Linked DNA regions of Kluyveromyces lactis. The protein of the gene in region 2 interacts with the protein of the main gene of each other region in a pairwise test. Links are inferred from orthologs where the notes say so. Each region holds a gene or a part of one and is shown on either strand. Other genes may lie near its edges.

What was found.
Region 1: the proteins of SYF1 (region 2) and SYF2 interact in binary tests that used the Saccharomyces cerevisiae proteins (3 or more experiments, as listed by UniProt). The link is inferred for Kluyveromyces lactis from reciprocal best matches to the Saccharomyces cerevisiae genes SYF1 and SYF2.
Region 3: the proteins of SYF1 (region 2) and PRP45 interact in binary tests that used the Saccharomyces cerevisiae proteins (3 or more experiments, as listed by UniProt). The link is inferred for Kluyveromyces lactis from reciprocal best matches to the Saccharomyces cerevisiae genes SYF1 and PRP45.

Annotation. Positions count from the first base shown.
Region 1 is NC_006041.1:407,671-418,122, forward strand, and holds SYF2 (Syf2p), read right to left. Parts: upstream 6,273-10,452; coding exon 5,607-6,272; downstream 1-5,606. Other genes in the region: GVP36 (Gvp36p), read right to left, coding at 1-2; protein kinase PKP1, read left to right, coding at 745-2,010; RSM18 (mitochondrial 37S ribosomal protein bS18m), read right to left, coding at 2,144-2,611; KLLA0_E04577g (uncharacterized protein), read right to left, coding at 2,841-3,227; KLLA0_E04599g (uncharacterized protein), read right to left, coding at 3,512-3,889; KLLA0_E04621g (uncharacterized protein), read left to right, coding at 4,339-5,508; UTP8 (Utp8p), read left to right, coding at 6,513-8,456; KLLA0_E04687g (uncharacterized protein), read right to left, coding at 8,508-9,428; KLLA0_E04709g (uncharacterized protein), read right to left, coding at 9,681-10,181; VSB1 (Vsb1p), read right to left, coding at 10,424-10,452.
Region 2 is NC_006037.1:173,953-185,971, reverse strand, and holds SYF1 (mRNA splicing protein SYF1), read left to right. Parts: upstream 1-5,117; coding exon 5,118-7,514; downstream 7,515-12,019. Other genes in the region: RML2 (mitochondrial 54S ribosomal protein uL2m), read left to right, coding at 1,147-2,352; KLLA0_A02013g (putative aminopeptidase), read right to left, coding at 2,525-3,646; VMA8 (H(+)-transporting V1 sector ATPase subunit D), read right to left, coding at 3,868-4,698; AFG1 (Afg1p), read right to left, coding at 7,634-9,157; MAK10 (Mak10p), read left to right, coding at 9,995-12,019. UniProt on the Saccharomyces cerevisiae protein: Involved in pre-mRNA splicing and cell cycle control.
Region 3 is NC_006042.1:215,830-226,954, forward strand, and holds PRP45 (mRNA splicing protein PRP45), read right to left. Parts: upstream 10,213-11,125; coding exon 8,920-10,212; downstream 1-8,919. Other genes in the region: TEA1 (Tea1p), read right to left, coding at 1-23; KRE5 (Kre5p), read right to left, coding at 519-4,262; ALA1 (alanine--tRNA ligase), read left to right, coding at 5,019-7,889; RNA-binding protein POP5, read left to right, coding at 8,200-8,844; protein phosphatase regulator GIP4, read right to left, coding at 10,396-11,125. UniProt on the Saccharomyces cerevisiae protein: Involved in pre-mRNA splicing. Associated with the spliceosome throughout the splicing reactions, until after the second catalytic step.

The DNA.
Region 1 (10,452 bases), on a different chromosome or scaffold from region 2:
ATTATGTTATAGTTCACGGTATATATCTTTTCTTCAATGGATACCCCCTTTTAAACAACTTCAAGACACAGAAAAACGCTGAAATTCTTCTATTCAAACAGTAAAAGTACACAGTATTAGTCTGAATACTATTTCCAAACCGAAATTATTGATCAGATCAATTCAAATGACAGAAAAACAGTACCAGAAATGAATCAAAAGCTGAATCCATCATAAGATAATAAATCTCATTGAAAGTCAAAATACTGTTTTTGATGGCCAGTTTTTTTTTCCCAGTCTCTAATTCAACTTTTCTCCCTCAATGGGGAACAATTGAAGAGTGAAGAGCATTCGGGTAACTATAATAAATTATGTGCTTCTTGCAAAGACCGTTAAACCGAAGTTACATTTGGGGTACCAATTCATCACATTCCATTCTCTGGCTTACTGGGCTAGCGGTGGAGGACTGAACATTAGACGGTAAATTTAGTCACGTGATTTCTTTTGTCTTCTCCAAAAATATTTGGCAGAAACTCGTCAGAACAGAATTAAGGAAGCTTCCATTACCGAAAGATTATAGAATAAATTAAGAGTCATCGCTGCAACAAAGAACAAAATACGAACCAAAGAAAAGTTGTCAAGTACAAAATCAAAAGGTCAAGATACAACCAGTGTGACAGAACTCTGTGTTTAGGTCTTCTTTTTCACAATTGAAAATAAAACAGAGGACGAAATCGATACTTTACCTGATATTTGTAGCGAACTATGACGGTTTGCGGCATTCTAAGGAAGCAGGCAAGTATAACGGCTAGGAACAGATGCCGGTTCTTTTCAGTACATCGGTCCCCATTATTCAATACACATATTAAAAATGATGAAAAGACTGTATCTTCCCATAACCGCCTTCATCGTAGGAATAATCATCGAAAACGGAGCAAAGAAATGACCGAGTTGAATTTCCAAGAACTCTATCATATTCGATCAAATATCCAGCATTTGATCCAAGATTATTCTTCGTATGAGATTCCAAAGATCGATTGGGCATTTCTTCTGCAATATCGTGGCCCGCTTCAGGATAATGAGAAGTATTTCCTCACGATTAAGACGTTGAACCTGTTATTGACGTTGACATGCCATAGATTGGCATCTCTACAAGAATTACCTTATATCGCTTTAGTGAACCCAAATATTGAACAATCTAATCGGCTTTATTTAAAAACTTTAGAATCACTTCTAAGCATTGAGTATCCATACGATCTGTATGACACAGATAAAATTCAAAATCTTACAGAGGAATTCTTGAATGATCACCAGGATACGTTACTTACGTTATCAAATGGGTTGCAGGAAGTGAGCCGTTTTTATGATCCAGAAAACATATTCAAGTTTTTGAATAAGCATTTACATGACAGAATATTGATGAAGTTGTTGACTACCAACTATTTGAAGCTCTTGGAACAGACTTCTTCCGATGAGGTCATTGGCGTCATCCATAAAGATTTGCATATATCTGACTTAGTTACAAGAACGAACGAATTTGTTAACGATTTGACATTTATCAAATACGATAAGACCGTTCCAGTGAAAATTATGGAAGGGTCTGATGTGAAATTTTCATATATACCTACGGATCTAGAATACGTCCTTCAAGAATTGCTTAAGAACAGCTCGAGAGCACATATTGAAAACAACGTTGACAAAGATGTGGAAGTAACAATAGTGAAAAACGACGATCAACTTGAGATCAGAATCAGAGACTTCGGAGGCGGTATAGATCCACAGGTAGAAGACCGAGTCTTTGATTATTCTTTTTCCACAACGGTGAAGGAAGAGAAGGACAGCGGTATGAGCGATTATGTTTTACCTGGTCAAGAAGTCCAAAACGTTGCAGGTATGGGATTCGGACTTCCAATGTGCAAAGCGTACCTAGAGTTGTTCAATGGTACACTTGACATTCAGTCATTGTGGGGATGGGGTACTGATGTTTATATACGATTGCACGGTCCATCGGATAGACTATTCGACAAATGAGAACACTGTACTATCATTCAGTCCCGGAGCTTTCCATTGCAACGTGTTTATACTGTTAGCGCTATTTACAGATATAATCCTATTTATTGAGAAACATATATTCATATATACAAGAAGTTATCACATGTCATGATTAGCTTCTGTTTGCAGTTCTTTGAGGAAGCACCGATATGTCTTTGTGAACCTTAGACATCAAACCTATTGCTTGGCATCTCTTAATAGCCTTTGTTAGACGACGCTGGTTCTTAGCCGATAAACCAGTTACATCTCTGTGTAATATTTTACCCGTTGATGTCACAAATCTTGACAAGAACTCTGGGTTGGTGTATAAATCAAGTGGATTGATCTTCAATTTGTTGAATGGGTCAAACGATCCAGGACGTACCCCAAACTTCTTATCTAAATGTATTCTTTCTAAGGAGAAATCAAATGGATTGTAAACGGAGCCCGGCTGAAAGTTTTTGATTAACTTGGATTCTAGCTTCTTGATTGTGGGCTTGCTATTAGCTTCCGACATACCTTCTTTCAGAAGTTTTTGGTCAAGACTGTTGCAGACATATCTTGTGGTAGAAAAGAATCTTGCGCAGCTGCGGGAAAACATTTCTTCTGATGTGTTTTAATTTATTCAATCTCTCGTTAACAGGCGTAGAAAGGCCCGAGCGACTTGGTTGTTTTCCTTCTCTTGCTTGCTTAATATTCATGTTATTGAATAAAATTTTCCATGTTGAAAAGATCTCTAAATTTCAAAAAAAAAGAGATTGAAATAAAGGATACTTAAGTCATTGCCAGGCATTCAACCTTTTTCCTGTTGTCAACCCAGTTTACGCAGATCAACCTTGGAGGTGTAGCGCGATTGATCGGAAAGCTCTTGCAGGAAGTCGGGCATCCCTGTGGATCAAACCCGGCGCGCTCCAGCACCTACAGGCCGATGCAATCGGCCTCCTATTCTTTGACCTGGCCAAAACTGATGATCCGTTTGCTGGGTACCGGCGACGGTACCGCTGAGCGCTGCTATGCCGGCAGTCAGGTTGGTTATAGCCAGCAAAATGGAGCCGAGTGCCTACCCAGGTCAGCGGTGCGTTGCGCTTGGTCACGTGTGAGATTTCGTGTGCCAGCATCGAGGCTAGCTGGCTTTCATTGTCGGTAACCTGCAGCAGTAATGGATCTTTGATCAGCGGCGCGCTGGCGCGCTGCTGCCGCACGTAGAAATCGCCCATAGCCAGCCGTGGGCCACAATCAAACGTTTACCCCAGCTTTTCGGCAGGGTCTTGATTCTTGGCTGGATCTGATGGGAATAATGAATCAGTAAATAACTGCGATTCTGAACTAATTCGAGGATTTTATCAATATTGGTGTGATTTCCAATGTAACATCAATTCATCTATTATCAGTCAGTGTTCTATCCGCTCTGGTGGTTATTCAGGTTAAGTAGGTTAACATATAAACGTAACAACAAATTAAAAAGCTGGAAAATATTACTACTTTTCCAGCTTTCAATCCATTAATCGTTAAATACAAAACTTTCTTCAGCTAGATTGTGGTCTTTTCTATAACTCTCGTCCAATATTAAATAATCATCTGGTTGTTTAGAGCTTACTCCTTTCAACCAAAACTGTTCACCGTAAGCTATCAGCATTGCCCAATGATACTCAAGTTCATGGCTACGAAGACATACTGCCAGATAACTATCAATGGGCTTACATACTAATGAAGACGATAAAACCATTAATTCAGCCTCATCTTCTTTTTTATTTGCATACTTAACGATAATTGCTTTAAGCATTTCTACCCAAGTATGGAAATTAAAAACAACTGTTTCTTCAGGATCATCTTCGTCTTTAAAAACAACTCCATCAACAATTTTATCCTTATTAATCATTATCGACAACCTCTAACTTTAAATCTATCAAACAGCGCAGCTGCTTTCTTTCTACAAATAGCAAGTTGTGTCTCTTTAGATCTAGGAATGGCGAGGGGGGGTTAATAATTCTATTAATTGTATCAATTCTAATAATGATTATATTTATAGTTATTTATACTCATATTATACTTCCGCGTCTCATTAATGTAATATTAATGAGGCGCGATTTGATTTTGATGAAATTAATTAAAAAAATAGAGAACTAAAATCAAGGCACAGACAAAGATAAGTACACGCAGAACCGCATCTATCTGGTGGACGTGAGCCAGGCAAATAATAAACTTATCGAGGTTTAAAGGAAGATTGGTATTGCCTATAATCTTAATAAAAAAAGAAGTTACAATTCAGAATCAAAATTTAATACAGTTTGTTAATATTCAGAAGTGCCTTAATTAAGTTAACGAATTATGTTTAGTAAACTATCATTGAATAACATAACTGATTCAATCAGTAATGCCGCACAGCGTACTCAGGAACAATTTTCCTCTGCCATTGAAAAGATCCACTTGGATGATCCTGAAACACGTTTGTCCATTTTGAAGCGTAGACACCAACTACAAGAAACTTTGGGAACAGTGCATGATATCAGTCAACTACCAATTCAGTATAAGTTTTTGGAACAAAAAAGTGATGCCTTAGAAAAGATTTGTAAGAGATTGTTATTGGTAACCAAAACTTTTGAAGTAGAAGGATATGATTACCCACCCAATTTAACAGAGTCATTTAACGATTGGTGGAGTGGGAATAAGGATTCCATTTTCTCTTTCAGTAAGAAAAAGGCGGAAGTTTCCCCTGAAGTGAAGGAAACTGCAGAGAATGGGTTATTGCCAAGATCATTTGCCCAGGCCTTGTCAAAAGCTGCTACTGATTCTGCTCTGATTCTGAAACAATTGAAGGCAGAAGAAACAAGAACAAACCAAGAAGAGTCTCAAGAAGGTGCTGATCAAAAACCAGCTGAGGAAACTAAGGCAGAACCAGAACTAGAAGCAGAAGCAGATGAAGATGAAGACGAAGATGAAGACGTAGATAATTTGATCAAAGCATTCGAATCATGGACCAAATGTCAACTATCAATTGATCAAAGCAAGGCTGAAATGGATAGTTTGATGGTTAAAGAGTTCAACGCCAAACTATCTAAACTTATTGAAACTGATTTCAAGAAAGGTCACGAATTGCGCGCTAAGGTTCAAGATGCAAGATTGAACTTTGATACTTTACGTCATGAAATTAAATTGAAGCTGCAGGAAAAAGAGGTTGTAGCATCCTCTGAGGAAGCTGAAAAAAAGGTCGCAACTGAAACCCCTGAAACCCCCGAAAAGAAAACCAATGAGGAACCAGTTGATATGGCAAAGACAGAAGAAGATCCTGATTCTAAGCTTTTCGAACGATTAGAAGATCAGTTCGTGTCTGCAACCTCAGAAACTGTGGAATTCTTGGGAGAACTTACAGATAGTTCTGAGATCATTTCTTTGGTTAAGTTGTTCCATAATTTCCAATTGATCCATTACAAGCAATGTGTCAAGAGCTTAGAAGAAGATCTAGAAGTCCTTAACTCACTAGATTCTGAAGACAAATGAAGAAATCCACCTCTATATATCGTTAAAATAAAATAATTATTCATAATCAATCGTAAATATCTCATATGTAAATGCCCAATATACCTATTTTCCCATGCCTATTTGAACTCGCTATTCAATTTTGCATTAAACCGTTTATTCTTGTCATTAATAAATCCATCATCCAAATTGATCTTATTTTGTTTATCTAGTTTTTGTTTCCGTACCATATACCTTTTCTTTGATCGTTCGTTCAAATCATTCACCATTTTTTCTACTAGTTCAGGATTATCTTCTACTTGAACCTTCCCATCCTCAGTTATTCCACCTTTCAACGGATGTGATATATCCTTCGGAAGCGCATCTACTTCCTTCTTGTAGCTGTTCTTTGCTATAGTTTGGAAGTCCCCCATCACGCTTTTATTATGTCTTGAATTCTGTGTCTTAGCTTCCCATTTTTCATATTCGCGTATTGAGTAGTTTGCCAATTTTATCGGATCTTCTGGTTCGCTTTTGTTACTTCTAGCTTTATCTTCGCCATCGTCAGCCATACTGTATACTCTTCTTTCAGAGTTTTTCTTCTCTTCAGCTATTATGGCCTTCTTATTCCTTATACTTACTTCCACTTTTTGTTTCCGCAAACTCTTCAACTTTTTTTCAATTTCCATTAGATCATTCATCTTCGAATATTTATTATCAGCCTGTGTCCAGTTTACAATGTGATTTGTGGCATTCAAATAAGGGCTACACTTTCTGTCACCTGGAAGATATCTGAGTATATTCATCGCATCTCATCTTGTTTCTGTTTGCATTTCGACACTATATATTACCCGGACTGACTCCCAAAAGTAAAGTTTGAAAAATTTGAAGTACTCAGAAGAAGAGATGAGATGCGATGAGATGCGATGAGCTGTAAGTGCAAAGATACACTCAACCGCTGCTCTTGAAAGGACGAGGTGAAGTATCAAATATCCTGTGTTCAATACAGTTTGCTTTGATATTATTTATCGAAAGATATTGAGAAAATGGCATCCATCTCACAGCCTTTTAGGCTCTCTGCTCTACCTAAGATTCCATCATTGAATAATTATGCGAATCAAACAGACTACTTACAAGTTGTTGATAATCTTTCACCATCAGCCAATAAAGTGAATATTGGTATATCAGGTTCCAGTATATCACAATACTTGATTAATCCAACCCCGAAGCTGGTTTTTAACTTGCCAATCCCCTCTACGAACATTGTTACTGCATGTGACGTGGTAGAAGATGCAGCCAATACAGAAGTCTGGTGTTACGGATTGGAAGCTAGAAAGGTATCACATTTACACTTGGCTACTAAGCCGATGATTCAAGATGCCGTGTCATCTTCAAATGCTGAAATCACATCTCAGTTCAAATATAAACTAAAATCTGAAGTCGTTAGCATTAAGATCTATTCTAAAGCAGAGAAAGTTCTCGTTATCTTAAGGAATGGACTGATTCAAACATTTGATTATGAATTGAAACTTTCAAATACTATTGATATATCTTATGATGATATCAGATTTGTTCAATTCTTCCAAGATGGGCAGGGAAACGATTTCTTTTTCGTGTTATGCCAACTAAGTGATGAGAAAATCTGTTACAAACTTTTCCAAGTTAGGAGTGAGTCCGTCTCATGTATTGAACTAAATTCTATCATACTAGAAAATTACACTTTAGAGAATGCAAAGTTGTGTTTTGAGTTCGGGAAATTATATGTTTTAAAGAACTCAAATGAATTATCAATCTATCAGTTACCACATTTGCAACTACAAACTAGCATTCAGCTACCTTTCATTTCCAAGGATGCAGTTGTATCCATCAAACCAGTTTCTTCAAACCGTGTATTGTTGACTGCTGATAATACCATATATCTTGTGGATTTGTTATACAATGCTATACTATTCCAAAAGGATTTACAGAACATCAAAGCTATTCAACTACTCTCTACTGCAGTTGTTCAAGAAAACTCTGAAGACAATAGAAAAACTATAGCATTAGATGTTACAACTAAAAACGGTGCTAACCCTACGAGTTACTTGGATGTTATTAACATTGATGTTGGTACCGGTACCTTAAAAGATGCGATGGGTAAAGGGTTCATGGTTAAACAAAAGCAGAAACTACAGAAACTCTTTGAAGAAAGCAATGAGGACGACGATGTGGAATTGCCATCTCCAGACTATGAACGCATTATAAAACAACTCCATATCTGTAAAAAAATAGAGAACTTTGATTCTATATTTTTTAAGATGCTTTCCTTAGACAAGGAATATTATACAGACAATGACAGATTTTTAAATGATTCTGATTTACTCACTCAAATAATCGATTGCTTGTTTCTAAATTTCAAGGATGAATATCCAAAAGCATTGACATACCTTCTAACACACCCTTTATTCCCACCGGTTCACGCTAAGGGCTTATTAACCAAGTTGAAAAATAACCCAAGACTTTTCAAACAAGCTATTGTTACTTGTCCGAATGTTCCACTTGACGATTTGTTAACCGAGCTTTTCAATATAACGAATGCAGAGCTCTGTTTTGATATTACGCTAAGAGTGCTACAAGATTACAAGAAAGAATCAATCAAAGCAGGTATAAGAAAAATTGAGAAGATGGATATCACAAACTTTTTGGATATGATTTTGAACTCGAATAAGGCAGATTCGGACTTGAAACTTAATAAGCCACAAATCTTCCAACTTATGAGTTTAATAATAGATTCCATCGGTTTGTTTGCGTTAGACGATGAATATTTAGAGAAACTTTCCTCTTTTGTCGATGCGCAGGTTTCTGTAGTGTCACAAAACATAGAACTTTTGCATTTGGCAGAGCATTACACCAAGCATTCATCGGTTGTTAACAATAAATCTAATTCATCAACAAATTCGTCTTCTACACAACCTATTTCAGCTTACACAGTGGACTATTTAGAATGCTAATAAGTGTGTAGTATAATCATAAACATTAGAACTTTTCGTAAAATGATTTCATCAGCTTTCCATATTGAACTGGAACTGAATTACCTCTTTTGGATCCATGAAAGAGTATGTTTCACAATCCTCATCACTTTCATAAATCACATGCTCCTCGTACGTAACTCTGTTATCTTTGTCGACAAGTATGACAATCTGGGATCTAGTTCCATAGTAATCGCCTATTGGCAATGAAGTTCCAATAGCGTCTGCACCTTTAGTAATTCTTAAAGGCGGTACATAAATACTGGAAGTCGTCACAGAATCCACATCTTCGCCCTCATTAAACGTATGGTTTGATAAAAGTTCAAAACATTTCTGCAATAGTTCTTCCTTGGCAATGCCCGTAGTATTTTTCGCCAACGCATCAAGTAAAACGTACCCATATTCCGTCTTATTCCATCTACTTGTGTGTTCACCTACAGCACAGTGGAAAATGTCGTTGGATATCACCATATGCTCCATCTTTTCAAACGGATTAGTGGAATGCTTTAAGTAGTCGATTACGTTATACTCGTCCGACTTCGCATCGCCATAAAACAACGTGAACGGGCCAGTTCGTCTCAAGTTCCCATGCTGACCATTGAATTTTTCCCAAGAGTCCCAATTATCAAAAGGTGCGTTATCTTCTTGTTGCAAAAACTGCAAGGGAACTATACCTCTTGATCTTGGTTCTCCATTCACCAATACAGATTCAGAATCCAGTGGTGAATCGATCTTCAAATTTAATATGACAGCTATTCTTCCGCGTCGATTAATCCCTAGCCACGTACCATAGCCTTGACCCTTCTTCTCTATAGCCATGTCATATGGAGATAATATAAAACCATCATGATTCCAGCAAGTAGCGTGTGTCTTCCGTTCAAAGAATTCATCACGATTCGATAGCAGTATGAGCTTATAATCTGGATGAGCTCTAGTCGCAAATAAAATACACATTGTGTCTCTAGTAATGATGTCCTGGTGCTACCATTCGCAGAGTTTATATTTGGGTCTTAACGCACCTCTCCCAGTGCACCCTTCGATCAACACTTATATTTCTTCAGTTCATAAGCCAAGCCGTTCATCAAATGGTTTTATTTTTAAAGGGACGGATTAGTGTATTAGTGGCATTATATAAGGTGTATACGAAAAAGAGAAAAGACATAAATGAAAGCGGAGTCCGACTGTTAGAATTATACAGGTTGCATCTTATCCGAAAAGCTTACCAATGAATTTTTTGAATCCAGATTTCTTGTGATAGCTATCGATTTCCTTTTGGTTTCGTTCGATACATTTCTGTAACTTATCGTTGTCATACCCACAGGAAGTATTTTTTTCCTTTGTACTCTTCTTGCTTGAATGCGTTGTTACTCTGGTATCCAATCTATTTAGCTGATGTAAGGTAGCAACTTTAACAAGTCCAGTTCTGGTTTCGATTTCATATTCTTCTGGGAACTCTGCACCTTCTGCAATTGGCTGATTAAACCCCGGAATGGCTTTTTTCGACAAGTCTAAATTAGTTGCTTTTAAAGAATCGATACTATCGGTCTCACCTTTTTGGACGTTATCTTTCACGTAATCTTCCACTTCCTGAGTGGTAGATATTTTAGACAGAGGAGAAGACTGCTTTTGTACAAGTGATGACATGCTGTGATGGCTATGTTTTGTCTTTGTGATAGTAGGTATGCTTCTTTCTTTTGAAATAACCATGTGCGTACATTATTTGTATGCATTAAGTCCTAGAAAGAGGTTTTTTTTTTATTTGTTAAAAGAATGCCTTAGTTCAATTTGATCTTCCAGCAGCAAATAACGCATAACGTAGGATGCAAGGTGCAGCAAGGGACGTAAATAGGTTCAGGTAAAGGTCAAAGAAAATTAGGATTAGGTGTATCTATGAATCTATAAATAAGACTGAAAGAAGGTCCTTTTTTAGGTTGCATTGTGGGGACGTGTCACATGCTGATTAAGGAATAACCAAGAA
Region 2 (12,019 bases):
ACTACCGAAAAGCACAAGTTACAAGTACAAGAATGGAACAGCTAATGCTATATATAAACGTATTCAGGACTGTTAGAGATAACAAAAAGCGTGTTTCTAATCCTTTAAAATTTTGAATTTTATTCATGATTAGCATGGAAACTTTTAGTTCATCATTAATAGGTCTATATATTTAAGATAGAGAATGCCGAGTAATCCACTGACACATCTAACGTACACTTCGACTACCCGAATATATCCGGAAATGAAGAAAGTCAAACAAACAAGAAGATATAACTTGTACTGTATTGCCTGGACAGTTTATTTTAATAAAGTAATCGATTGATCAGAATTTTCAGTGTTTGGCTAATGCTAGTCGAATCGTTCATATTTTCGAAATCCGTTTGGGGCGACAGCGGTCATCATAATCGATATACTCAAAAAAAAAACAATCCAAATGATGGTATTTCCATACAGACAGTCATTATCTTCGTCGTTCCTTTTACTTGTTCATTTCCCGACATGAAGAGGAATTTGATTTCCGTTTGAGTTCAGTAAAAAAGACAGAATACGTTGCGAACAGGAACTCCTGTTCCTGATACACTACAAATCGAATCCTTGTTGGTTATGTCTCTAACTCTAATTAAAAGCTTTGTAACGGATAATAAAGTATTCGTGATGAGATAGAAACTTACCTCAAAATTTTTCACTTTTCCAGTTATTTAAACTAAAAACCATAAAACAGAAAGAATAGTCAATCTAACCATGAGAGACTGGTCTGCCATTAGGGCACAAAATAAGTACACAAAGATTTCCTGAATCACGTGACCAAATATTATATAATCCGGGTAAATTCAGAATACGTTCATAGTGATACTTCTTGCAAAAAATTCCATTTGACGATATTCCTCTGATGGTATTGAAGCTGTTTGAAATTAGAGATCGCTTGAAAGATTTTGATATTAACAAAAATGAACAATGTAATTGCAATGACTTAAACATTTTAAACTATGGATATTGATATATATAAGGGTGGATATATCTATAACAAATCTTATTAAGATCAGAGTTATTTTATTATTTCTGTGAAGGGCAGTAGCAAAGCGGAGATATTGGTATTAGACGGTTTACCCTAAGAATCTCGTTAGGTGCTCTGGATATAATATCATGTTCAAGCAATTCAACTTGAGATGCCTGACGCCGCTTGCCAGCGGCGTCTCCTCAAGAGTTCAAGTTCCGTGGAATGTTTCGATGATAATGTCTTTGAACAATACTTCACTTGGTGGAATCAGATCTATGGCCAGCATCACTCCAACCGGGAATGAAGAACAATCTTCAGTTGACGATGTCAATGTCCATATGTTGAAAATCGTTCCTAATAACACAGATGTGGTAGCACTAGAGAAGCAAGACGAATTGTTAAGAAGAAGAAGAAAGTTGGCTAAGGAAGTTACACAAATGAAGAAATTGAAACCGGTTTCTCCAGGTTTGAGATGGTACCGTGCGCCAATTTATCCATATTTGCATAAGGGAAGACCTGTTAAATCTTTGACTCTTGCCAAGAGAGGAAATGGTGGTAGAAACCATAGTGGTAAGATCACGGTGAGACATCGTGGTGGTGGTCATAAAAGAAGATTGAGAACAGTCGATTTCAGTCGTTTCGAATCTGGTATGCAAACTGTGGAAAGAATCGAATACGATCCTGGTAGAAGTGCACATATTGCATTGATAAAACATAACGATACTGGTGCCCTAAGCTACATTTTAGCATGTGATGGGCTAAGAGCTGGGGATACCATCGAATCATACAGAAAAGGTATTCCACCATCATTTTTGAAAGAAATGGGTGGGAAGATCGATCCTGCCATCTTATCTGTTAGAACAGCTCAAAGAGGTAACTGTCTACCAATCTCTATGATCCCAATCGGATCCATCGTTCATAATATTGGTATCACTCCTACAGGTCCAGGTAAGTTCTGTCGTGCTGCTGGTTCTTACGCACGTATCTTATCCAAGATCCCAGAAAAGAATAAAGCTGTTGTCCGTCTACAAAGTGGTGAGCACCGTTACGTATCATTGGAAGCTGCAGCTACCATGGGTGTTGTCTCAAATATTGACCATCAAAACCGTTCTCTAGGTAAAGCTGGTAGATCTAGATGGTTGGGTATAAGACCAACTGTCAGAGGTGTGGCAATGAACAAATGTGACCATCCTCACGGTGGTGGTAGAGGTAAATCTAAGTCCAAAAAGTTGTCCATGTCTCCATGGGGTCAATTGGCCAAGGGTTACAAGACAAGAAGGGGTAAGCATCAAAACAAAATGAAGGTTAAAGATAGACCAAGAGGTAAGGCTGGTAGAAAGGCTAGACAATGATAAGCTTCCCCACAACTGATCCTATCTTAAATATCATCAGTTTTTGTAAACTTATTTCAATGACTTCCATCCTGTAAATATCGTAGAACTAGTTAATTTAAAGAAATAACATAACATCTGTTCAGTTACCAACTCTATTTTAAACAAAGTTTAGATTACTACATCCAGAGCATCATTTGGTCTCTTCTTCCAGCTTAAATTCCCAGTTCCCAAGTTCGAATAAGGAACCAACGACTAACCTTACATGCTGGGCCATGTGATCAAATGAAAGTCTGTCTAAAGTGTCCATCGTACTGTGAATGTATTTGTTAGATTTGTTGAACTCACTTTCAATGACAAAGGAAGCGGGGAATCCATTCTTCGTTGCACTTCCGTGATCACTACATGCATATCCACATTCCGTTTCCACGTAAGGAATATCCAAGAATCTTCTTATAATCAACTTAATAAATTCAGTTAGACCTGGCGTGGTATAATCAGTAATGACACCAACATGCTCATTTTCTGGATCTTCAACATATCCGGTCATATCTTGTTGCAACATTGCGACGACTTTTTTGTTCTCCTCTGCATACCTGGTGAAGACATCCAAAGAACCTAGTAAACCACCTTCTTCTGCACTATAGAAATGGAACTCAATGGTGTTATTGGGTCTGTAACCTGTTGTAGAGAGATGTTCAACGTATAATCTCAATGCCTCTAGATTGGTTACGGTACCAGATCCATCGTCATCAGCTCCTGGCGCAGCAAGTATCGATGGCAATAAAAGGTTCATAGAGTCCTGATGCGATCCCATTACGACAATGTTCTCGGGAGTTTGTGCTCCTTTAATCGATACGATGATGGAGAATTGCTTCCAACCTTTATGCTGAACATGTTCAATGACAACGTCATTGTTCAATGGACTAGTGATGTTAGATAATTTCTCGGAGAGCCAAACAGCAGATTCGTACCCCGTGTCAGATTTGTAATAGCGAGTGTAGAAACTTGTGAATTTTGCCAAATTATCATGCATTGAAACCTTATCAACTCCCTTGGACAACGAATTTACAATTTCGTCGCATTGAGTTTCCTTCGGATAACGGTACACTGGCACAACAGCCTTTTCATCTTTGGACTTAAGTAATTTGGGAAAATTGGTAATATCCATGAATTGCACTCCTTTCCTCTTGAGAGACCATTTCTCGGTCTCTCGTACCATAATAGTCTTACCTTCCTCGATCTCAAGAACATGTAAACTATCAAATGGCAAAGCTGCCACAGAAGCTGCCAACAAGAACCACCCAAACTTCATAACTAGCCAATCTGATATTTGCTACGGAGTTGAAGCAAAGTATACACCGGTAGATGCTTGTACTGTCCCTTTTAATACAGTATTTATCCACTTGTTTCTGAAGGGAAAAAGGGTTTTTTTGACATCTAAGTAGAACTAACGTTGTTTAGAAGTTTAGTGTACATATTATGGAAAATGATATTCATTGATATACAATAATGGAGAAAGGGAGAAACCAAAGATCAAAAGATGACATCTTCCTCTTGTTCGGTAATCAGAGCTTCTACTTGTGGGCCAGATTGTTCTTCTTGTTCTTGTGTGTCGGCAGCTTCTACGCCAGTTTTGGTCGCTTCTTGAGAATCTGGTTTACCTTCAGACTCAGCATTTGCTTCATCTAATTTCTTCTGCTTCATTTCAGCATCCAACTGAGCAGTTTGAATCTGTTTCTTTTCTTGCACTTTCTTCAATCTATAAAACTCTTCTCTATCCAATTCGTCTAGCTCGGAGTTGATATAAGCAATGGTGTTTTCCGTTCTTGGAATGATCACATGTTCAATGGCATTCACTCTACGGTTGGTAACTTTGATAACTTCGTCCAAGATAATGAAAGCCGTTTGTAACGAAGCCAATTCAACTAGTGTTTCAACAGCCCTTGAGTAAATTTCCTTAGCACGCTGAACTTGTTGACCACCACGACCTAGACCTGTCATTTTGAAGTCGTTGATGTTGGAGTCGATGAATGATTCAAATTGAGGCAAGTACACACCACTCACGTTTTCTTGCGTGGCCCTAACTTTGAATCTTGCATTGGCAACATTCTCTTGAACTTGGTACCCTATATTTTCACCTGTAGCATATGTGACCTCCGCCAAAGAGAACGCAGCTGTTTGCATCACTCTGCCCATCTTCTGCTTTGAATCATCTATTCTTTTAGTGATATCACGGAATCTCTTCGTTAATGCTTCAGACTTTCTCTTCAACAAAGAATAACCCTGATTAGCACCCTTTAACTTAGTCTTCATAAGACCCAAGGTCATACGAGTGGGGAAAACCTGTTCCCTATTACTAGACATTTTTCGATAAAATTCAAGATGCTAGGAGTGAAGTCGTTCCTTCCTTGCTGTAATATGTTATCAGTACGCTTAGTACCAAACTCACCTGATTGGTACAGTAGAAAAACAGTTCTTTTCAAAGAAAAAGCAAACGATTACAAGTAAATGTGTTCCAGGTTGGATACTTGTCAGTGCCAGCCTAATTGCAACGTTCTGCCCCAGCTGATATATGCCCCCCTTTTCTACCTTTCTTTCGTCAAATGATTGAATGTCTTATATTTCAGATATTTTGAAAATTGGTTAATTTCGAAATTTAGATATTATTTCATTTACGGTGATATGTCAAAACGTTTAATGAGATGAGTTACAATTAAAGCTCCATCTAAGGTAAAGTTAGTGCACTGTTTTTCCACCAGGTACTGCGAGAGACATATGTTTCGATGGAAATAGATAAATTTGTCAAGGAGGAAGATATTCCGTTTGAGTATGGTGTTGTTAGAGAAAGAGACAATGCTGTATCATGGTCGAGATATTTGGCAACTAAAAGATCAGCAGGCGATGAGTTGAATTTAGATTGGCTATACGAACGTTGTTTGAAGGAGATCAAGGACGACTGGCATCTATGGAAAGAGTTCTTGAAATGGAGGATAGAATTATTGAACGATTGTGATATTTTCAGGCACAAAGATGAATACAATAAGATATCGTTACTATTCGAACAGTGCTTAACATCATGTGGCAAAGTTGGGGATGCATGGATTATGTATATGGAATGGGTAATACAGTTTAAGGATTTGAAGAGGATTAGAGAACTGCTTGGAAAAGCGCTACGATCAATGTCGTGGGAGTACCATGAAGCAATATGGCGTGTTGTCATCGATTTCATTATCAATGAATTGTTAATAGACAACAAGAGGTATGAACTTTCTTTAGAGGATTCCATCTACTATTTTGTTCACGGAGAGCATTCGACGAATTTTGATACAGACCTCTGGTCTTCCTCAATCCTACAGAGATATTCACTTATTTGTGACGACATAGAGCCTTTATTGATCTACATTTTTAAGACTCATGATTGGAGCACGATCGTTCGAGTATTTGAAAAACATCTATCACCTAATTTAAAGCCATCTCAGACAAGTTTATTTGAACTTTACGTTAGTTACATCACTTCAATGATTCTTGTGGATAATTCAGCAGGGGTTGCTGCGGTAGTGGACCAATGTATCGAATTATTCCCTTTCAAGAAGGGTGAACTTAAGACATATTTGATATTTAACCTGATACGTCAAGGAAAAATAACGGAAGCTGAGCTGTACTTAGAGAAAGTTATAAGCGAAACTAAAGACATTATCGAATTTTCTGTATTATATGATTTTTGGATTCGTATGGAGGAGCTATTGACCCAAGAATTAATTCAAAAGATGAAAGACGATAATTCAGAAAAGCAACGGCTGTTCGCAAATATAAGACTACATGCCGACACTCTAACCTCATTAATAAAAAACCACACTATTAGATTAAACGACTTAGAATTGAGGCGAGAACCCAACAACATCAAATTGTGGCTAGAACGAGTGAAGCTTTTTGATACCATCTCTGATAAAGCTAAAGTTTATGCAGATGCTGTTCTTACCGTGGACTATAGACTTCAGACTACTCCAGGGCTATTAGGAGAATTATGGTGTCAATATTGCAGACTTTTTGAAGAGGATATTGAAAAATCCGAGGTCTTGCTGGACAAAGCCACTAACGTCCCTTTCAAATTTTTAGTAGATCTTGAAAATGTTTGGTTATATTGGTGTGAATACAGACTAAAAAGAAGCATTGACGATGCCATAAAAGTTTTGTCCGTTGTATTAGAAATACCAGATAATCATGAATTACTCCTACAAAAATTTGAGAAAGGAGAATCGCCAGCACAAGCAGCAATTTTCTCATCTAAACGCTTATGGGCAATGTACCTTGACTTATTGGAGGTCAAAGGAAACTATGGTACAGCTGTAAATGCGTATGAAACAGCAATACTCATCAAGGCAGCAACACCAGCCATGTTTATTAATTATGCGTTATTAAATGAATCTTCTGGCCATCAAGCAGAAGCTTTGGCTGTTTTCGAAAGGAGTGTTGAGATTTTTCCTCCAAGCGTATCGAAGTCTATTTGGGATATATATCTGGATGTGGCACTCAAAGCTGATATCACTAAAGAGCAAAAAAGAGATATTTTTGAATCTGCTATTAAGCTTGCAGCTTCAGGAGTGGCATGTGTTTCGTTCTTTGAAAAGTACAGCGACTTTGAGTTAAACCTTGGTTTCCACGAGAGAAGTGTCGAGATTTTGCACAAAGGAGCCAAGAATATTTCGGATCTTGAAAGTAAATGTACTTTATGGGAAGAATGCATCAATAGAAGTGAAAAACAATTGGACGTCAATCACACCAGAAAACTATATGAAGAATGTATAGAAACATTGCCCAATTCTAAAGCAATCAAGTTTCTACTTCCATTTGCTATCTTAGAAGAATCGCGTAATGAGGTTGCTCGTTGTAGAGCATTGTTAGACTACGGGAGCAAATTACTGAAGCCCGCACAGAATGAAGAACTTTGGGATTTCTGGAGGAATTTCGAAACTATGCACGGTACAAAAGACTCGTTCAAGAACATGCTAAAAGCACGTAGGTTCCTAGAGGACACAATGAAAGTAAATACAGAGGAAGTATCCAGACATGCAGATAGCATCGAATTTAGGGCGTCAACTGCGAAAATTAGTGGAAGCGGACCACCAAGCGCAGAAGATAAAGGATACTCAAATACGGCTGAAATTGATTTAGGTCTATAAAATGGATATATATTGATTAAAGTTGATAATGGCATATCGATCAATCTCTTATGTTTTGTTTTGGAAGATGTCGTATTGTCTTTCTTTGATGACGTGTAACATACAAAAACACTAGTATCTTACTGTTTTTCGACCCAATCAGTTGAACTCATGTGGGATAATCTACTTAGGGCTCTTGCAAATGCAAACCGTTCTTCATCTAATGCGAAAATCTGTGCTTTTTTGGCAATATCCTTAGAAAATCCGTGTTTACTGACCAATTCATCCTCTACTTCAGGTTCATCTTCATGTTTCATTTGATCTGCTGGTTTAAGCTCATAGTCGTTGACAATATCTTCTGGTTCCACGAATAGTGAGGTGAAGTCATCTGCACCAGTGGTAGCTAATTTACCACCGTTATCGTAAACTGCATCCAAGAATGTAATGAACCGTCTAACTTCGTCACGTACGTATATGGTTAAGTATGGCAAATCTGTGACAACAAAGGACTTGAATGAGTTAGCCAAAGTTAAATAGTCACCAGCAGCCAAAGGTTCTCCACATAATTGTTTAAAGGTGAATTGTGCTACTCTCCCAGGTGTACATTTAGGAACGAGTAATTGTCTACCCCAGATAGTCAATGGATAGTTATATACAATGTCATGGCCATTTTCTGACTTACTGGGACGATGCAGTTGGGCAAAATAACTATACCATTGCTGTACGTGTAATTTCCTCGCCAATTCACACTCTTTTGAAAAATAGGATAAATTATGACTTGGATAGTAATAAACAGATGAAATTGGTCTTGGAATCTTACGATAATCGGTAGGAGAATCCAACAATACCACTTCGGTTCTTTCCTTTATCAGTTCAATACATGGAACAAACGATTCTCTTTGAACACCATTGATGTAAAGATCATCTGGCTTTCTGTTACTCGTTGCAAAGAGTACAACACCGTACTCTTTGGAAAGCAATGTAGTAATTAACCTCCGTAAAATCATGGCATCTGCCACGTCCGTCACTTGAAACTCGTCGAAACAAAGCACTCTAGAAGTGTTTGCAATCTCTGCCGCTAGAAATGGGATTGGGTCGATATCTCTTCCCTTAGCTTCACCCAAAGCATCGAAATTTTGTTCGGATATAATGTCATGAGATCTTTTATGCACATACTGCATGAACTGATGGAAATGTATACGTTTCTTTGACAAAGCTGGAGGAACTGTCAAATAGAACAACTCCATCAACATCGTCTTTCCACATCCTACATCACCGTATAAATATATACCCTTAGGAACACCCTCCGTCGAATACTTCTCTTTCCTTGCAAATAATTTCCCAAGAAACCCTGTTTTCCAGCCGACTTGATCTAGCACGCTTGGTGGTTGTACTGGTTCCGGATTGTACGAAACCAAAGAGTCGTGCAAATGACCTAAGGATTTGATGATACTCCGCTGATACGGATCATCTCTTAATTTTCCGAGCTTTACCAACTCGTCATATTTCGACAACGGTGTTTCCGTAACATCCGCAGATTGAGAAACCCACCGCTGTGCCAATACTTGTTGGAAAAGTCCAAAGGTATACCCTGGTCTTTCAACAAGACCGCTGCCAACTCTACTGACAAGAACCTTCTTACAACCCTGTGAAAATATCAGCATCGCTTGTCCTTGTACATGACCTTTTCCCAATTGCAATAGATTGTATCTACCTTAATTAACGATAGAGTAACTAGTGTATTATTTATGGACAAATAGTAATTCGGAAGTGCAGCTCTAATACAAAACGTTTCCAATTGCTAAGAAGTGAATATCTAACATTCACCATGGCCTTTACTTAAATACTTGTTAGTGGGGCATCGGTTTGAAGTGATAGTTTCTCAATGTCCCCCACTCTGAGGCCGCTTTAATTTTTTTTCTCCGATTTCGGGTTCTTATTCTACAGTAGAAACATGCTGCTGATCTCTATCTATTAAAGGTCTTCCTCCCCACCCCTCCCTGTCGCTATCTGAATACCCTGAATTCGACTTGTAAAGCTATGACTGACAGCTTTGTTTGCTTTGGTTGGTGAAAACTAGAGATCATCAATTGTTCGAGAATGACTGTTAGCATGCATGTCGATATTTACCAATAGATACTCCGCTCTTGCGTACATAATAACGTAACGAACATACGTTTTTAAGAAACAGTGTGGGGTACCAGACTTGCAAGTGCCTCTAGCAACTGGGAATAGTTTGTACAATGCATGGCTCTCACAGTACCTTGACTTTTCTTAGGTCCGATACTTTTGTTTTATGTTGTGTAGAGTTTATTACCTCTTTTCTACTAAATGTTTAAATCCTAATTTAACTTGTGAGATAGCTTAAGGCTTCCACACGATATCATGAATTAGAGAGATTAGAACAGAATATACAGTTGCGGTAGCACTAGACATTGCAAGATTTTAGGGTTTGATATCTTGGGGCAACTAAATTTGTTTCCCAGCATTCCTGATTATTGATGGTGGTTGAGAATAACATTGCAGAGTTGGCGAATTTAACGCTAGATCATCGAATGGATCCTAAAAACGAAGCCCAGTTTATAGACATCACAGATCATTTAAAGGCCCTAGCAGCGAAGTTGGCACCAGAGACAGTGGTCAAAGAAGCTACGTTCAATCTGTTCGAAGGGACTTATGCATTGGAAGTATGCAACGTGAAATTAGATACAAGCCTTATTGAGTTATGCCCTGAAGAGTTGGAATTCGACTGCAATGTACCATACGGGGACTCAAATAATGGAGAAAGGCTTGATTATGTCACTGCGGTTTGTGATCGATTATGTCGCTCTTTGATGAATTGGCTTCATGATTACCAAACTCTACCCACTACGGTGCTAAGTTGTCGATACGTCGAATTTCTTATGGAATTATACACTTCGAACCCGGTTTCATCGTTACAATCGTTCCAAGGATTACGCACGCGCGACCCCTTGTATGATCAAGTCTTGTGCAGCTTTGTGATAGGTGTTTGTTCATTCATAAAGTTCACTTCCAAAGTTTTGAAAGATGGTGGTGTTTACGAGGAGGAAGACTTGAACTGTAACGTTATGAGTTTGGATATGCTCTCTGGCGTGGACACAAAAGAAGTAATAGATTTATTGAACTCTTCGTTGCAACTGTTAGTTCAGTCATACTCAGAATCTACGCATCTACAAAAACTTGTTGATTTAGTCAAACATTTGTTGCACTTACCCAATTATCATTATCCCTCATGTCAGTCTTCGGTTTCTTCAGACTTACTACCTTTGCAAAAATCACTAGATATTATTTCTTCATTGGTACAAGACGATTATACTACTAAGCAGCATTCATACCCTCCTGGTTGTTTTTCCAAGGGCATTCAAAAGAGGCGTGATAATAACTTCCCACCAAAGGATCTCTTTGAACCTAAGGGAGACGAATATGTCTCTTATACTGAATTCATGAGAGATATCATAGCGGCATTATCGGTAAAAGATTGCAATACAGCGTTCGAAATCAGACAATATGTTTGGTTTTTCAACCGAATTAGACAAAGGACAGTCATGGCTCGTGCGTTACTGCAATCATATTTAATTAGAGAAGACACCATCTTAGACAAGTTTCGGTTTAACACGTTCAAGGATATGCACCTTTACGAGTTCTCATTAGCAGGAACAGCATTGTACGATGTAATATCCAGCCGCGAGCAAACAACAGATCGCGATAATATGATAGAAGCCTTGAATGAACTCTCATATTGCCTCCTTCGTTGGTATCAAAATATGCCACAAAATTCATGTAGGCATCGGCAAGGATTTAATAGACTATTACTCGACTGGGACTCCGTTCAAGCGCAATTTGAGCAATATGAAACCCAATGGCAATCAATGGGAATTGTAGATAGCATTACAAACATGGGGAATATCCCATTGATGCCAGTTTCAACATGGATTTACACTACAAAGTTGCTTATGATGATAGAATTCACTTTAGAAGGATTTCATTTGGAAGTTTACAAGCCTTGGGAATCCTTTACTCAGTACTGGTTCTGTTATTACTTGTCGAGTCACTTGGAATCAAACTTGAAAAGATTGCACGAGTTTCTGTTGCAGAAGATCAGTTACATTTTGAATTACAATAAGAGAATAAAGAAACTCAAGGCCGGCGAAAAGAAAGAGAATGCTAAAGCGCGCTATAGACATTTAACAGATAATGTTTTACCTCAACTAAGACTAAACGAGAGAACTGTCAATTTCTTTTTCATGAAATGCACAATATTTAAGTCTCTCTCCCTGGCTCAAGTATTCCAATTTGCACTACTTAAATCTTTCAACGTAATAGATTCTAAGAATGATGTGTCTACCCGATTCAGTTCCGATAGACTCATACATAAACTTAGATTTAAGACCTTTTCCTCAATTGGAATACCCGAGATCCCCACATTTGAACAATTCCAAAAGTCATTAAACGATTTTGTCATTGAACCACCATCAATTCATTCCAAGATACCCAAACTTCTGAAC
Region 3 (11,125 bases), on a different chromosome or scaffold from region 2:
GTATGCTTCTCGAAGTTTACCATTAATATCCATTCACTAATAAAATCAAACGATACAACCAGAAAAAAGGCTATTGTGAAGCGCAAATTGTATAGGTAAATTTGTGGCAAAGGCGATATCTTCTTTGTATACCCTACCAACAGTTCGTTTCCAGCTACGTAACTAAATTTCTAAACCTTATTTTATACCGCTGAGTCGAATAACTTAGCATATACATTTTATTCATGTTGGTTATTTTTCACCGTTCGTTTTATTTTTTTCGGGAATTAATCACTGGTGTTAATGCATAGTATACTCATATAAATAGTGAATGGATAGTAAATGAATGATGATACGTTTTTAGTGACTAAACTACTCAATCAAGTCCTGGCTTTGATATCTTAATTATGATGAATTGGTATCTATGGTAACTTATTTCATAAATCTACACAGAGAATGTTATCAATTATGAAATAATTCGAATAATATAAACCTGTCAAGAGAGTTTGCATTGTACGAAATGGAGTTGAACTTGGAGGTCATAATTCGTCTTGTTCAAATAGCTCATCAGTATGTTCTTCCAAAGGTGCAATTGGCACCTTGAGCTGGATACTATTCACAAGGTCTGCTCTGAAGTTGTTTAATGAAATGAAACTTTTAGAAAGGAGATGATAATGTAATCTTAAACTCGTTCCAGCATCTATCTCTCTCCATTTTTTCATGTTAATAATGTATGATGACGATAGATCGTAGAATGGTAGGTCATATTTCTGTAAATACTTTTTCCAGTATCCGAAGTTCCAGTACGAACCTTCTTTTGTTTTTGCCGGTTTCAAGTAGAACACAGCATCAGAGAATGAAGCAATATCGTTCCATGGAATAGTGTCACTTGAATCATCAGTTAAAGAAAGTACCACTAAGTAGTCAACGTTTTTTGGAACCATTGTGTCTAACAGCAAAATAGATTTCGCCTCAAGCTCTTTTGCTGAGAACCGCTGTGGTCTCAACCATAATGGCCAAGTATACGTTAACAAATGATAGTCAACTGAAGCTGGCATTTCTCGGACAATTAACTTAGGTCTCTGAGCTAAAATATAAAATTTTGCTTTGTCGCCAATTTCTTTCTTGACTCTTTCAATTCTTTTAACGGCCACACTTTCTTGTCCATCATGCACGACAACCATTACATTCACTCTGTCGTCTTTTTCGTTCATAATTTCCGCAGTAGTCTTTCTCACTTTGACATGAATTTGGGTAGGCAATGAGTTATCAACATCAAAGGATTCTACTTCAATATAATTTGCTTCTGCCATTGTCGACAATGCTGTAATCTCGTAACTTGAATCACAGTTTTCCAACTTCAATCCCTTTTGCAAGCTAGGTAATGATAATTGGACATATCCAAATGATTTCATCGAAAGACCTTTATCGATAACATTTCCTGCGTTGTCCATTAGCTGCAAGCATACACCGGCCAGACCATCAATAATGTCAATTGACACATCGTCACCTTCATCGAATACATGGGCTTCAATAATTATTGATTTGTCATCTGGGTTGATGTTATGAGGATAATCAAATTCTGATAAGAATCCATTATCTGATATCCCGGTTGAAGCATTGTAGAATCTATGCACTGGGTTCAATGTTAGATTGGCTGTCGGTACCAATGCAACCTCTGTTTTTACAAATGGCAAGTCTTTCAATAAACTTGACAAATATAACAACCGCTGTGTCCTTTCTTCAACAGGATCTAGCAATAGAGTGACGTTGATTACAGATTGATCAGAGCGGCTAGTGATAGTGTATTCTTCTAACTCAGAAAGACTCACTCGAGGCATTGAGGATTCTGTAGTGTAAGGTATTCCGTTATTCAATACAAGGTAACCATGATGTACATATTTGATAACAGCAGCAGTAAGTTCCTCGATAGCAGATGGGTTCATTATGTTTTCGTCCAACGCCCCGATGTGATGTAGTGTCTTCAATACATCAAGGGTGCGCGAAGAATGATGAACCAAAATGTTGTGCCATAATTCAACAGAATACAAATCGTCATCCGTATTGAAAAATTTACCATTGATTACTGCAAATGGTTTACGAAGAGCTTTAATAGAAATATCCGGCAACCAAGAGCTTAAAACATTCAAAAAGGGATCAACAATGAAATTAACAGTCGTCTTAGAGGCTATTTTACCTGACAACTTCCCTGTGCTGAATTCCATTTTAAAATTATCCCAACTCTTTGACAAATCACCAACGTGAACTAGTCTGAAACTAACACTTTTGTGATTGTTCCTTAGTAGGGCTCGTATCTTCTGAACAGCGCTATAAGAGTTGAAATCATCGACTAAAGTGATAGTATGAATGGGTGAAGTCTTTTGATTCGGATCAGAAAAGATTATCGTGCGACTACCGAGTACATGTAGAGCGCGGTTGTTAACTCTGGTGAAGGTTTCATCCAGCATACGGTTAGGTATGTATACCGGATTTTTCAATGTCAAGGACCTATGGTGAAGAAGTTGCCTTACTGATAGGTTAGATGAATCACCCAAGGCCTGCAATTCTGACTTCAAATACTCGATATCGGCGGATAATATCCTTGAAGTATGAATCTTCCATGCTTTAGCTTGGAATGGTAAAAGTACACCATTCATTGCTATGCAAGTATCTGCTATTTTGAATCTCTCAAGGTATTCATCATACGCACTGCCTTTGTGTTTTGTCTGAGGTTGAATTTTTTCAGAGTGTCCAATAAGAGTTCTTAAGTAATCTATTATCGACTGCAGAGGCTTGTCAGATTCCGACTTCAATTTATAAATCATATCGACAACAGAGTTCGATCCAGAGGAAGAAAATGGAATTAAGCCCAACCTGATAGGATATCCAGTTTCCATCTGATCGATTGCTTGTAACAATGATCCTACAGCACCGTCATCTTTGAATTGTGTCATATCGTCAAAGTTAATAAAAAAGATGAGCTCATTCCAATTCTGCTTGATGCTAGGAATTGGTTCGAAATCAGATGGTTCCAAAAACGCCATATTGTCTTCAGGCAGGTCCTTATATAGCTCATCCTTCTCGAAATTATTGAAGAAAACTACAGCTTCAGAGAAACCTGGAGTACGATAGAAATCGTAACGATTTTTGTCAAAGTAAGCCGTATATGAGTAGCCAACCGTGAAATATTTCAAAAAGTTCTCTAACTCAGCACCGGGGAACTTACTTAGTTTTTCTTTTAAATCATTAACCCTAGACCATTCCTTAGCGAGGATAGCAGGTAAAGTAGTTTCATCTAATTCTGACAATCTCCACTGTTGGCCGTTGATGTACAAGCCAAGTAATTCATGAGAGATTTTTCTCTTATTGAAGTCTTTAACAATATTCTTTGCTGGTGTTGTATCAATGTTGTCTTTAGAAGCAATGACTGGTGCCACTGCAGGAAAATTGTAGGACAACGACTTGAAATATTCAAAGAAAGAATCGAAATCATGATCTTCATTGAATTTCTCCAACAATAACGCGGTGAATTTCATATCCAAATCTTCTAGTTCCTTTTGATCCAAGTATTTCAATTTGACTGGATCCTTAATTTTTAGATCAGAATCATCGATTACAAGGTGAACATTTGCCTTTTGGTCCCAGTTTTTGTCCGATAATGTGGCACTCAATGCATATTCTGGTGTATCACCTATGATACAGGTCGGTCTCCAAGTCATTCTAATCTTACCAAACTTAGCCTCATTATAAAGATTTCTGTTGAAATCAGCAAACTCTAAATCTGTTTCACAACCGTAAAGTACCACAATTGGAGCAGAAGCATTAGTTCCGATTGCAATCTCTCTATCTTTTAACACATCGAAATCTGGAACAAGAGCTTGAGCATCCAATTCAGAGGTCTTGAAATAAAATGAGTCATCGCTCTTAGAGTATATTTTGCCATTCAAAACAAAGCAAGTTTCTTTGAATTCATCATCAATTGGTGCAATCTGTACATATTTTGAAATGGCACCGGACAAGCCTTCGACTTGTTGTACTTTCTCAGCCGAAGCTGAACTTATAGATTCCTCAATTCCTTCATCGTCATCTTCATCTTCTTCATCCTCTTCTTCATCACTTAACGTTATTTTTCTATACAACTGCATCCATTGGTCGGTAGACAATGCATCGTAATCAACAAGGGACGCTGAAAGCCATCTCTTACCAATTCCTTCATTAAATGCTTGCGTTATGTGCAGGACAGTTAACAGCAAAAACACAATTCGTAACCTAAACAAGACCATCGTGGTTTTGCACCGTTTTAGATCAGGAAACTCGTTCACTCAATCTTGTTGGAACACAAACTGTCAAATTGTGCTGATCTAAATACTCTCTTTCATCTCGAATTCTGATCTTAATAGAAGGCAAATATAAACCTTAAAAATCTTGCGGGATCTTCTGCCAATAAAAAACTTTTAAGCTGGAAATATGAAGCATGTTAAAGTCCTACACATGTTATAGAATTTGTAAACCTCACCATTACTATAATGCTACTCCCTAAGCTAGTACTATGGGATTTTACGCATGTCTATCAGATCCACTGGCAAGGTAGCTTCAGCCACTTTCGAATGAAGAGTCACGTGAGTGTATTTCTCACGTGACTCCTAGTTTCTTTCTTCATTGGCTCTATCTATCTGTGAAACGGAAAGCGTTGAGAAAAATATCAAAAAGTGATTTGAAGATATTCTGGAATTTTTGAACAATTAACTTATACATAAAAACGGATGAGTAGAAGGCTTGGACTCAGGTTCAGAGGCTACTACTGCTCTTTCGTTTGTTGTATTCGAAAGTTATTGAAAACCTTAGGCGGCATATTCAGAGAACTAGGGGGATTTCTGAACTTTTTTCCCGTTGTTTCAAGTCGTTAATTTAATCATTACTCATCGTTTTTAGCGGTTTGATTAAATCTTCCCGTTCTTGATTAGAATTTGCTTTCGAAGACGTCCTTAGGAAAGGTGTTTCGCGTTAATTGCAGGTTATTTTCCAGTTTTACAGCTAGGATGACGATTGGTGATAAGTCTAAGTGGACGGCTGCCAACGTTCGTTCCACATTTTTGGACTATTTCAAGTCTAAGGGCCATACTTTTGTTCCATCTTCACCCGTGATTCCATTCGATGATCCAACTTTATTGTTTGCCAATGCTGGTATGAATCAGTATAAGCCAATCTTTTTGGGAACAGTTGACCCATCCAGTGATTTTTACAAGTTGAAGAGAGCTACGAACTCTCAAAAGTGTATCAGAGCCGGTGGTAAGCATAATGATTTGGAAGATGTTGGTAGAGACTCCTACCACCACACTTTCTTTGAAATGTTGGGTAACTGGTCGTTCGGTGACTATTTCAAGAAGGAAGCTATTGAATACTCTTGGGAATTGTTGACCAAAGTCTACGGTATTCCAGGTGATAGATTGTACGTCACTTATTTCGAAGGTGACGAAAAATTGGGTTTGGAACCAGACTTCGAAGCTCGTGATTTGTGGAAATCCGTTGGCGTCAAGGATGATCATATCTTGCCAGGTAATGCCAAGGATAACTTTTGGGAAATGGGTGAACAAGGTCCATGTGGTCCTTGTTCTGAAGTTCATTATGACAGAATTGGTGGTAGAAACGCTGCTCATCTTGTTAATCAAGACGATCCAGATGTGTTGGAAATTTGGAATAACGTTTTTATTCAATTCAACAGAGAACAAGATCGTTCTCTAAGAGCTCTACCGGCTAAACATGTCGATACTGGTATGGGTTTCGAAAGATTGGTGTCCGTTTTGCACGATGTTAGATCTAATTACGACACCGACGTTTTCGAACCTTTGTTCAACCGTATCCAAGAAATCACTGGGGTCAGATCATACACTGGTAAATTTGGTGCTGAGGATACGGATGGTATTGACACCGCTTACAGAGTCTTGGCTGATCATGTTCGTACGTTAACTTTCGCCTTGGCTGATGGTGGTGTTCCTAACAACGAAGGTAGAGGTTACGTTTTGAGAAGAATTTTGAGACGTGGTGCACGTTACGCTAGAAAGTACATGAACTACCCTATAGGAAACTTTTTTTCACAATTGTCTGTCACTTTAATCGAACAAGTTAAGGATATGTTCCCAGAAGTCGCTAGAGACCCATCTTATTTGTTCGAAATTTTGGACGAAGAAGAAGCTTCTTTCGCAAAAACTTTAGACCGTGGTGAAAAATTGTTTGAAAAGTATGCTGAAGATGCTTTGAAGAAAGCAGACAAGACTTTGGATGGTAAACAAGTCTGGAGACTATACGATACTTATGGTTTCCCTGTCGATTTGACTGAATTGATGGCTGAAGAACAGGGCTTAAAGATCGATACAATCGGTTTTGAGAAAGCTAAACAGGAATCATACGAGGCTTCTAAGAAAGGTGGTAAGAAGGGTGCATCTGATTTGATCAGATTAAACGTTCATGAATTGTCTCAACTTAACGGTGATAATGTCGCTAAGACTGATGATTCATCTAAGTATGGGACCGAAAACGTTGAAGCCACTATTTTGAGAATATATGATGGTGAGAAATTCGTTGACTCTATGACCGAAATTGGTAAGCAATATGGTGTTATTCTAGACAAAACTTGTTTTTATGCCGAACAAGGTGGTCAAGAGTTCGATACAGGTAAGTTGGTTATCGATGGTGAAGCAGAATTCAACGTCGACAATGTTCAAGCCTACAACGGTTATGTTTTCCATACCGGTTCTCTTGGTGACGGTAAACTATCTATTGGTGACAGTATAATTGCTTCTTACGAAGAGCTACGTCGTCATCCCCTAAGAAATAATCACACTGGTACACATATCTTGAACTTTGCTCTGAAAGAAGTGTTGGGTAATGATGTCGATCAAAAGGGTTCCTTAGTTGCACCGGAAAAGTTGAGATTCGATTTCTCGCACAAGAGAGCCTTATCTTATGAGGAATTAGTGGAGGTTGAAAAACTCTCCAATGAAAAGATCAGGGACAACTTAACTGTGTATTACAAGGAAGTTGCCTTAGATTTGGCTAAGACTATCTCTTCTGTCCGTGCTGTCTTCGGTGAAACTTACCCGGATCCAGTTCGTGTTGTTTCTATTGGTAAGGCCGTTGAAGAAGTCCTAGAGAACCCAACTAGTGAAGAATGGCAAAAGTACTCCATTGAATTCTGTGGTGGTACCCATGTTGCTAAGACTAGTGACATCAAAGAATTCGTCATTGTTGAAGAAAGTGGTATTGCCAAAGGTATCAGAAGAATTGTTGCGGTTTCTGGACCTGAAGCCTATGAAGTACAAAGAATTGCTACTGAATTTGATGGCGAATTAACTGCAGTTGAAAAACTGCCTTTCTCCCCTTTAAAGGCCCAAAAGCTAAAGGAGCTAGGTGTCAGACTAGGCCAACTAACTATTTCCGTTATCACCAAAACTGACTTGAAGGATAAATTCAACAAAATTGAAAAGGAAGTTAAAGATGAACTGAAATCTAGAGCTAAGAAGGAAATTAAACAAACTCTGGACGACGTCAAACATCACTTTGATGCTAACAAAGAGTCTTCTTTCTACGTCAAGCATATTGACATTCCAACTAATGCTAAGGCCATCACTGAAGCTATCAATCACATTAAAACAAACTCGAAGGACAAGTCTATCTACTTATTCACTTGTAATGAACCAGACGGAAAGGTTGCTCACGGATGCTACATATCTGACGCAGCAATTGCTCAAGGTGTTGATGGTTCTAGTTTAGCCAAAACAGTATCCTCTAGCATCGGTGGTAAAGCTGGTGGTAAGGGAAATGTCTTCCAAGGTATGGGTGACAAACCAAACGGTATTGACTCCGCTGTTGCGGAAGTTGAAGCCTTGCTAAAAGAGAGACTGACTATCTAATTTCACCCGCTTTAATATAAACTCTTTGGCTACGATTGGCTTGAAGTTAATCTCAAGTCTCAAAGTTTTGTAAATATATGCATGAGAACTCTGATTTTCAACTCAACTATATATGATATTACTTGAAAGATATGCTACGCCTTTTGTTATATAGAGAATGAATTATCTGATATTTACACAATCTGTTAGTTAAGGTTGGTGATGCGGCAATAATGCATAAAATATTGGACATGCTTGGCGTATTCTCGTTCTTCTTCTGTGACTTGAATGCGACAAACCAAAAAAAAAAAAAAAAAAAAAAAAAAGAGAGATGCTTCACATTACAAGATTTAGAGTTATGATGGAGATCAACTGTGAAGGAATCAAGATTTTGATAAAGGACGGTTGTGCAACAACGTTTATTCGGGGGTTTCATCCTACTATTAATAAAACTTGCTGTCATAATAGGCAAAATAGAAGAAATCCAATGGTTCGTTTAAAGAGCAGATACATTCTTTTCGAAGTACTATATCCAGATGTAGATGATGAGTACGAAACAGTGCCAGATATAACCAAGAAGGACATTTTAACCACGCATCACAAAGTATCACCAAATACTATCAGTCCGAGAAATATTTTGCAGGAACTACGAAAACAATTACAGGTGAATTTCGGGGACTATGGCTTGGGAAAGGCTACGGCTTTGTTACAGATCAAATACTTTTCGAATAGAACATCAACCGGTATAATACGATGTGGCCATGATGACCATCAGTACGTAATAATGGCACTTGCTTTGATGAACCAGATTGAATCTGTTGGGCCCATCATAATGAATCCAATAAAAGTTAGCGGAACTATTAAAAAAGTTGAGTTATTTGCTATCAGAAGAAGTCACCGTTTGAACCGAATACTTCTGACAGATGATAGGAATGATGAGTTTTCTTCAATCACTGACGATGAAAATAATGACTGATTCGCTGATTTCATTCAATTAGTAGTGCTTGAATATTATTACATACAATTATATCAGTATATCGGTATCGCACAATTAAGAAGTATGAGGCTTCTTACGCACTTGAAGACCGTATTCTCTGGCATGCTCGTTATCTTCCTCATTCTGTTCCGCATTTTTGCCATCATCAGCAGCGGAGAACTCTACCGGTCCAGTTCTTCCTTTCTTATTTGAGAGTCGATCAACAATATCTTCGTTTTCTAAGTTAGAACCAGTAGTTGGCCTGTAAATGTTGTCAATCTGGCTATTATTGAACAATGGATGGTCGAAAATTTGATTTGAAGATGATGCCACAGATGATGCCGCTTTCTTGAACAAGCGGGAATCGTACTGAAGATCTGGGGTCTCGGTGGCTTTTGCAGCATTTAAAACAACTTTATCAGAAACATCTCTTCCTTGTTGGTACGCCAATCGTCTTAACTTTTCTGCTGTGCTCATTTTATTCGACCGTTCCAATTCGCGTTCTGCTCTCCTACGTTGATTACGCTCCATTTCCCTAACATAATGATCTTCATTTTCGTACTGTCGCCTATTTTCCCTATCCTGTCTAGCACGTTCAGCTAAGTGACGTAACCTTTGTTCTTTTTTTAAAGTTTCTTCCTTCTCTAACTCCTTGTACGCCTCTTGCTTAATGTTGATTCTCTGTCTTGCTTCTCTTTCTGCTTCGTCTAGTGCCTCAGATAGCAGAAGGAAATTGTCCTTCTTATCATTATCTGGGCAGTCCGTCTTTATTGATTCAATAGCAACTCTATTATCCAAAGAAATAGCAAATCCGTTAGGATTCTTCCAGTTCGAAATGGCGGATGGAATTCTCCATTTATCAAGCTCTTCCTTTGTAGGTTTAATACTAGGGTCATCCGACTTATGAAGTATAGGCGCCTGAATTTCTTCCGATGGTACAACGACCTTCCTTTTCCTGTGTGTTACCGGTTGTAAAGGATCCTTCTTATGTTCTATTACTTTAACTGAACGTTGAGTACCAGATTTTACAGAGCTTATTGCTTCTCTTTTTACGATGTCCTTGTTCGCAATAGACGATAATTGTAGAGAGCTCTTTTTCGTTAGCAGCGAGTCTAGAAACGCCTTAGTCTTTACATATGTTTGATTAATCTGTGATGTCGATGGGAACGGTGCCTCTAGTGATATATCACGTTGTCTAAGAGGTACAAAGTCAGATATTGAGGCCACTGGTAGATTCTCCGGTCGTAGCTTGTCTAATATTATTGTATCCTTTATGTTTTCCTTAGATTGTCTAGAAAATGCTGAAGACTCGGAGACTTCTGAGTTTTGCGGACTCGGTAGCAATGAGCTGAGTGTCCTGAATGACATGTCAGACCGTTCTAGTGGTGTTATAACAGGTTTGTTCCTATGTTTCAAGCCTTACCTACTTTACTTTATAAATTATGGGAATGTTCAATAGTTAAATATTTTCTCTAAATTTCAAATACATTGTTAAAAGTTGATATTATAATGGAAATAAGTTCACTGCAAATAGAAATTAAAAGATTCTTTCTATTTAAACAGTTTATCCTTGATTTTACCCACTATTTTAGTATCCGCCCCTTGACCTGATGAGTACATGCTGTCAAAACCGAACTTTTTATCAGAACCTTGGTCTCTGGAGATCAAACTTGTGCGAAATGCAAGACCCTCTTGAGTTGTTCTGAATTTTTGAAGTGAGTGCTGTGCAGGTGGAGGTGGATAATGCAACACGGCAGGCTTCTTGTACCATCCGCGTCTTTTAGGCTCAGGGTTTTCATCTTGTGACATAGGCGGAACCCCTATAAATCTCACCTTTTTCACAATACCTTCAACTTCGCTGTCGTTGTTTGAAGACGACTGATTGTCATCGGCAACAGAAACTATGATCTTAGGAGTTTCACTACCTTCTGGAGATAACACTTCCTGAGAGACGATTAGAGTATCATCGTCCAGCTTCAGATCGTGGAATTTCTCATTGATGTCATCTTCGTCTACTTCATTTAGCTTCAATATGTTCACTTTGTTCCTCTGTTTTACGGAATTCTGCCGTGACACAGTTGGAGAAGGTGATTTTGATCTTATAGAATTATTCAGCTTTGTTGGTGTTAGTCTTGGGCCTCTTTTCTCATTTAACGAGAGTAATGCTTTTGAATATGCATTCTGTACAATTCTTTGTGTATTCAGAGAACCTGATTGAAGAGAATTGGATCTCATACCATTCCGAGCAGTGGAAGTATCTTCAAGACTTGATACTGATTGC